Linked DNA regions of Sus scrofa. Each later gene encodes a partner of the first gene's protein in a complex. Links are inferred from orthologs where the notes say so. Each region holds a gene or a part of one and is shown on either strand. Other genes may lie near its edges.

Evidence for each region.
Region 2: LAMTOR5 (region 1) and LAMTOR2 share a complex: the UniProt entries of both Homo sapiens proteins name them as parts of the ragulator complex. The link is inferred for Sus scrofa from reciprocal best matches to the Homo sapiens genes LAMTOR5 and LAMTOR2.

The regions. Positions count from the first base shown.
Region 1 is NC_010446.5:109,725,640-109,728,907, reverse strand, and holds the end of LAMTOR5 (ragulator complex protein LAMTOR5), read right to left. Parts: intron 2,453-3,268; coding exon 2,335-2,452; intron 1,698-2,334; coding exon 1,637-1,697; 3' UTR 630-1,636; downstream 1-629. UniProt on the Homo sapiens protein: As part of the Ragulator complex it is involved in amino acid sensing and activation of mTORC1, a signaling complex promoting cell growth in response to growth factors, energy levels, and amino acids.
Region 2 is NC_010446.5:93,972,756-93,976,508, reverse strand, and holds the start of LAMTOR2 (ragulator complex protein LAMTOR2), read left to right. Parts: upstream 1-947; 5' UTR 948-1,155; coding exon 1,156-1,223; intron 1,224-1,529; coding exon 1,530-1,692; intron 1,693-3,753. Other genes in the region: UBQLN4 (ubiquilin-4), read right to left, coding at 1-29. UniProt on the Homo sapiens protein: As part of the Ragulator complex it is involved in amino acid sensing and activation of mTORC1, a signaling complex promoting cell growth in response to growth factors, energy levels, and amino acids.

The DNA of each region.
Region 1 (3,268 bases):
AGGAGACTGACCTAAGAAAACATTTGTACAGTTGATGTCAGAGAATGCCTGTGTTCTCTTCTAGGAGTTTAATGACGTCTTGCCTTATGTTTAAGTCTTTAAGCCATTTTGAGTTTATTTTAGTTCATGATGTTAGGGTGTGTTCTAGTTTCACTGATTTACATGCAGCTGTTCAGTTTTCCCAGCACCACTTGTTGAAGTTATTCACGTTTTTAAAATTATTTATTGTGGTAAGATACATTCAACATAAATTTTACCATCTTAACCATTCTGGATTTTTTTAGCTGTGCCCATGGTGTATGGAACCGCCCAGGCCAGGGATGGAAACCATGCCACAGCAGTGACCCAAGCCACTGCAGTGACAACACTACATCTTTAACTGCTAGGCCACCAGAGAACTCCTTGTCTTAACCATTCCCAAGTGTAGAGTTCAGTGGTATTAGATACATTCATTTGTTATTACAACAATCACCACCATCCACCTCTAGGACTCTTTTCATCTTGTAAACTGAAACTCTATGAATTATACAGTAATTCCCCATTTCTTATCCCTGGCAACCACCATTCTACTTTCTATATGAATTTGACTGCTCTAGGTACCTCAGGTAGGTGGAATCATAGAGAATTTGTTTTTTTTTTTTTTTTTTTGTGACTGGCTTATTTCACTCATCATAATGTCCTCCAGAGTCCTCTGTGTTGTAGCATGCGTCAGAATTCCGTTCCTTTTTTAAGGCTATTATACCATGGTATGTATATACCATATTTCGTTTATATATCCACCCATCCGTAGATGTGAGTTGCTTCCATCTCTCTGCTGATAACCCATATAGGGTTGTTAATGAGAATTAAATATATTCCTGGCATACGGTAAGTACCTAATGTATCTGCTCTAGTGTTTTTTGGTTTTTGCTTTTTTTTGTTTTTTTTTTTTTTTTGCTTTCTAGGGCCGCACCTGCGGCATATGGAAGTTCTAGGCTAGGGGTGGAATCAGAACTATAGCTGCCAGCCAACACCACAGCCACAGCCACACTAGATCCAAGATGCATCTGCAACCTACGCCACAGCTTCCAGCAATGCTGGATCCTTAACCCACTGAGCGATGCCAGGGATCGAACCTGCGTCCTCAAGGATACTAGTCGGGTTTGTAACCCACTGAGCCACAAGAGGAACCCCATGCTATTATTTTTTTTATTGTGGGGTAGGAGTATGTTTGACTTGTTTTACATATCCACGGATGCATCTGTGAGATCCTCTGTATTTCAGGAGCTTCCACAAGGGAAGAGTTTGGAGCAGTTACCTTTTAAAGATTACAATTTGGTAATTGAAAAATAAACATTTGATAAGAATTTAAAGAATCCAGAAAAGATCCAAGCTTTCCTCTAACCAGGTTTATTAAACATAACAAGATTCTATATATAAAGTGACCTAAACCTGCTGCTTCAAAACATGATACTTTCCTAACCAGTATTTTGATAAGTCAATCCATGGAATGGCAAAAAGCAGCTTACTCTAAAATTAATAGAAAAGCACCCAATGCACATTATACGAACAGCCTAACTACTGGAACTTGAATAGTTCTGTAAGGTAAGTATGAATGAGGCCCTGTGACAGGCTGCAGGAGAATGGACACAGGGTGTCAAGAGGCCATTTTATGCACGGCCACTGTGATGCCATCGTGCTTCTGGATCATGATGTTCCTGAAAGGCAAAGTGGAAGATATTCAGTAAAAGGCTACAGGTGGGAGTCAGTGTAAGATTAAAGATGCTGTTTGGTTTAGGATACAACTAAAAAAATAGTACTTATCATTTTTCTATGTATAAAAGCAATATATAAACACAACAGAGCATTTGGGAAATACAGAAAAGTATAAAATACGAAAATGAAATTAATTTTATAATCGTATCAAAGACAACCATTATTAGTATCTTCCTTTTTTAATCTGGTGTATAGCATACATATCTTCTCATTTTACAAAACTGTGATCATAATGAGCATAGTTTTGTATTCTGCTTTTTTCATTTACTATTGTTCAGAGGACCCTCACTCAAAACATCTTTATATTTCTATTACTACACACACCGTTTCTGTTCTTGGTTTAGTCTTCCTCTGCTTTCTTTTACTGATAGTTCGTGACAGCTCTTACTCTTCATTTACATGTACCACTGTGGTCTGAAAGCACAAGAGCTTCAGAGATCAATGCAACAGCTCCTATGGTCCAAAGGGCGGAACCATCCTCCAAGTACTTTAAATGAACACAGGGCAAGCCCCAGTCAAGTTCCCCAGGGCTTTTTCTGAATCAAAAGGAAAGGAAGGGATCTGCTGACATCTACTCACCCGTTATCTGATTCTAGACACACGACAGGAATATCGGTGGGGTCTGAGGTTAGCTTAGCTGCTTGCTGGGCTAGGACAGATATCACCCCAGCATGCTCATCAGACAGGGTCCCTCGGCCTAGAAGACAGATATGGTATCATGTTGCCTGACTGTCCAAAAATGAGTACAGAGCTATAGTAGAACTAAACTCAGTTATTCACAAAAAGAAGGGTCAGCTCCTGGGCTCTTAGCTACTGTTAGTACTGTACGGACATGAAATGATTCTGCCCTGAGACTCAGCTGGTTATCTCAGTGAGGAAGCCAGACAACAGCTTTTAAGTCAATAAAGCCGTAACACTCAGTTCTCCAAGTCATTTCCATCACCATCTTCAAACACCTTCTCAAGCATGTAAGGAAGCTATAATTCAAGTCAGTCTGGAAGCAAACTGAAACCAAGACGAAATTCAGAGGTGAGACTGACAAAAAGCAGTCAGTAAGGACAAGAGACGTTGAAACTAATTAATTCCTGGAGTTCCCTCATAGCTCAGTGGGTTAAGGATCTAGCATTGTCACTGCTATGGTGCTGGCATAGCTGTGGCATGGGTTTGATCCCTGGCCTGGGAACTTTGCATGCTGTGGGTGAGGCCCTCCCCCAAAAATCCCAACTAATTAATTCCTCATGGGAAATCTAATTTCCTTTTACTGAGTTCAACTTCAAAGAATATAAAGATCTTGGCTCAAGAGTTTAGCTGTAGGATCTCCTTAACAGCATACATAACTATTCTATAAGCAATTATGTCCATTAGAACAAGCTGGTTGTTTTCAAATAGGAACAGAATTAGCTTTTTACTAATGTCTGTTTTAGCCTGTAGATAATAACTTAGGTGTGAGGTACAAAAAGTAATCACTAAGTTTACCGTATATTTCTGTATATAGAGGCAACACAAGCCCATG
Region 2 (3,753 bases), about 16 Mb from region 1:
CTCGTCTCGGCCCCGCTCGGCTCCGCCATGCCGCCGCCGCCGCCGCCACCCGGCCGCCCGCCAGCCCGCCCCGGCTCCTCCTCCTCCCCGCCCGCCCGGCGGTGCTCGGCTCCGGCGCCTCCAACACTCCCCTCTCCCCTCCCCTCCCCAAGGCTTCACCGCCCCCTCCGGACCAGCCGCAGCCACAGCGCCCCGGGCGGACCGGGGGGGCCACTGCAGCGGGGTCCGCCCAGGGCCGAGCCCGGGGTCTGCAGCCTGGGCAGGGCCTTGCTGGGCGGCGGCCCCCAAAGGGGCTGCTCCGGACAGGGGCGGGAAGCAAACTCTCCGGGAGAGACCACCGCCCGTGGTAGCCGGTCCGAGTCGCGCTGAGGTGCCAACCCCCCGCCCCCGGGCCCAAAGCTACCCGCCCCCTCCGCGACTAACTCTTTCTCCGGGACAAAGGACTTTCTGTGTCGCCGCTTTATCTCCGTTCCCTATGATAACTGGTCTTTCTTGGAAAGCCCAAATCCTTTCCAGGCCTGAGGCTTCTCCCGACTTGGAGGCTGAATTTTCCACTTCTGGATATCTACCTAAAACCTCTTCTGTAGGATTGACTTAATTCCCCTGAGGGTAGCGGCCTCCAAGAAGTCTATTCAGTACAGTTCCAGAGACCTGGATTTTTGCCTGCATGGCCTTTCTGAGCCTATTTCCTCAATAGCATCTATCTCCTCATCTCACAGAATTATGCATAATGTAGAAAATTGCTTTGAGAAGTAACCCAAGGTATGCCTGACAAGTATAGGAATTTTGTTTTCTTTTAATTACTGAATCGTGGATTGTCAAGCAGATATGACTCCTCTGCCCGAGAGGGTTAAATGTCCTTCCAGTACTGCCACTATCCTTTTACTCCCGCTCTTTTCCCCCATAACCGCGTGGTCTCACTGGAAAGGCGAACTGTAGTTCCCAGGGTGCCTCGCGAAGCTTCGAGGAACTACAATTCCCAGCGCCCCCCGCGGTGAGGCGGGGTTGAGTCAGAACCGCACAGTCAGGCCAGGAAACTACAACTCCCAGGAGTTCTGGAGCCGGGCAGCTGGACTACGGGAAGCGGCAGGCGGAGGCCAGTTATAGGAAACTCCGGGATCAGGTTGTGAAAGCCCAGGGTTAGGAGCCACAGGCATGCTGCGTCCCAAGGCTTTGACCCAGGTGCTAAGCCAAGCTAACACTGGAGGTGTCCAGAGCACCCTGTGAGTGCGGACCGAGAGGCCGAGCGGCGAGCACTGGAGTGGGGCTGCGCGCGGCTCTCCGAGGGAGGGGTGGGGAAGGCTCTCTGGGAAGGGAGGAGGTGGCAGAGGGGGCAGCCTTTGGGTGAACCGGCGAGAGGGCCACTCTTGAAAGAGAAACTGACGTGCTGGGTGTTTGGGGCATGTTCTAGGACACACTCAACCCAGACCCTTGCTTTCTAGGAGCGCCGGTGGGCGAGTTGGGATGGAAAGTCAGGTATTTTACTCCCCATCCTGAGCACGTTGATATCCGTTCTGATGCTTTTCCAGGCTGCTGAATAACGAGGGATCTCTGTTGGCCTACTCTGGTTACGGGGATACGGACGCCCGAGTCACTGCAGCCATCGCCAGTAACATCTGGGCGGCCTACGACCGGAACGGGAACCAAGCATTTAACGAAGACAATCTCAAATTCATCCTCATGGACTGCATGGTATGGAGAGGGGAGCCATTTCCTCTGTCCCTAAGGGGACCCCCAAGGGGCACCCTGGACCCCATCCTGGATGGTTGGGGCCCAGGGACAGGATTTCTGGAAGATTACTAAGAGTTGGTCTGCAGCAGCATTTATAATAGGCAGGACCCTATGTATCAAGTGGTGATGAGGAAGGAGTATTGGACCCGAGGTCTGGCTGGGTTCTAGTCTCAGCCAGCCACTTGCCATTTGTGGAACCTTGGGTAAGTCACAAGCTTTTTTACCACATCTCCAGTGTGAAAATAATCCCCACCACCACATCACGCACACAGGGTTGTTGTGATCAAATGAAAGGGTAGGTGTAAACTGTAGAGTGATATGCAGACACAAAGTGTTGTCATCTGAGATTCTCAGACTCAGAAGCATGGCAAAGTGTCCAGACCCTAGTCCAGTTCCTTCAGTTTACAGAAAAAGGAGATAAAGTCCAGAAAGAGGAAGCGCCATTAGACTGAATTTCTTGGGAACAGAACCTGTCTCATTCACCTTTATATCTGTTCAGTTAACAAATTTTTAGGTCCTTGCAGTATTCTCAGGACCTGGGAAAAAAATAGCAAACAGGACAAACAAAAACTGCAGCCCTAATGTCTCATATATGCCTTAAAATAAGTAAAATATGTATGTTTGTAAAATCAGTTCATAAATATGTTTTGTAACATACATACATAAGTTTAAAAAGTAGTATGTGGAGTTCCCGTCATGGCTCAGTGGATTAAGAACTAGTATCCAGGAGTTCCCGTTGTGGTGCAGCAGAAAAAAATCCTACTAAGAACCATGAGGTTGCAGGTTCAATCCCTGGTCTTGCTCAGTGGGTTAAGGATCCAGCGTTGCCATGAGCTGTGGTGTAGGTCGCAGACTCAACTTGGATCTGGTGCATTGCTGTGGCTGTGGCATAGGCTGGCAGCTGTAGCTCTGATTATATCCATAGGCTGGGAACCTCCCTATGCTTCGGGCGTGGCTCTAAGAAGCAAAACAAAACAAAAAACTGGTATCCATGGAGATGAAGGTGGATCCCTGGCTGGCTCAGTGGGTTAAGTATCCGGCATTGCTGCAAGCTGCAGCATAGGTCTCAGATTCGTCTCAGCTCCCATGTCTGCTGTGTCTATGGTGTAGGCCAGCAGCTGCCACTCTGATTCCATCCTTAGGCCAGGCACTTCTGTATGCTGCAGGTGCGGCCCTAGAAAGAAAGAAAAAGTAGTATGTTAGGTATTGAAAATGCTGTGGAGAAAAAGCAAGGAAGTGAGAGAGGGACAATATTACTGCAAAGGGGACAAGTCATCATAGATCTAAAGGAAGCTGGCAAGCCATATGGCTGTCTGGGCGAAGAACATTTCTGACAGAGAGAACAGTAAGTACAAAGGCCCTGAGGCAGAGGCACAATGATGCCTGGTCAAGAATCAACAAGGTTGAAGTGGCTGGAGTAGCGAGAGAATGGGAGAGGTTAGTAGATGAGGCCAGAGAGGCAGGAGATGCAGCATCTGGTTCTAAGCACACAGTGGATATTTAGTGAAAGTTTTCTGAGCCAAACTGAAAAGTCCCCAAGAGTGAACTTTCCAGAAAGAATTGCCAGTGGAACTCAGTCAGCAGCCTCTTCCTTACTCCCTTAACCAAGGATGCCAGTTCAACTGATGACTCCTAACTAGTGATTCCTAGGTTGCCTGCCCTAGAACTGGTGATCTAAGGGCAATAGCTTTCAAGTGTTTTGACCACAGTGCAGCCATAATAAATATATTTTAAGTCAGAGTATCCCACTAAAATCAAAGTTTCCTAAAACAGTACTTTCCTTACTGTATGCGATGTACTTCATTTCTCTTTTTTTTTTCTTTTCAAAGCTGATCAGCCTTCTTAATTGAACTAGGGTCAGTTAATCCCTTCCTGTCTATTAGCACCCTCATCAACTAGAGTGGGATAGTTGAGAAGAGGAGAAACTGAGCTTCTGGGAGATTGAGTTTCCCAGGGTAACTTGGTTAGTAGGTGGCTGTGCTGAAGCTGGAATGGGCTCAGGACTCCATGTCCAAGGCTATG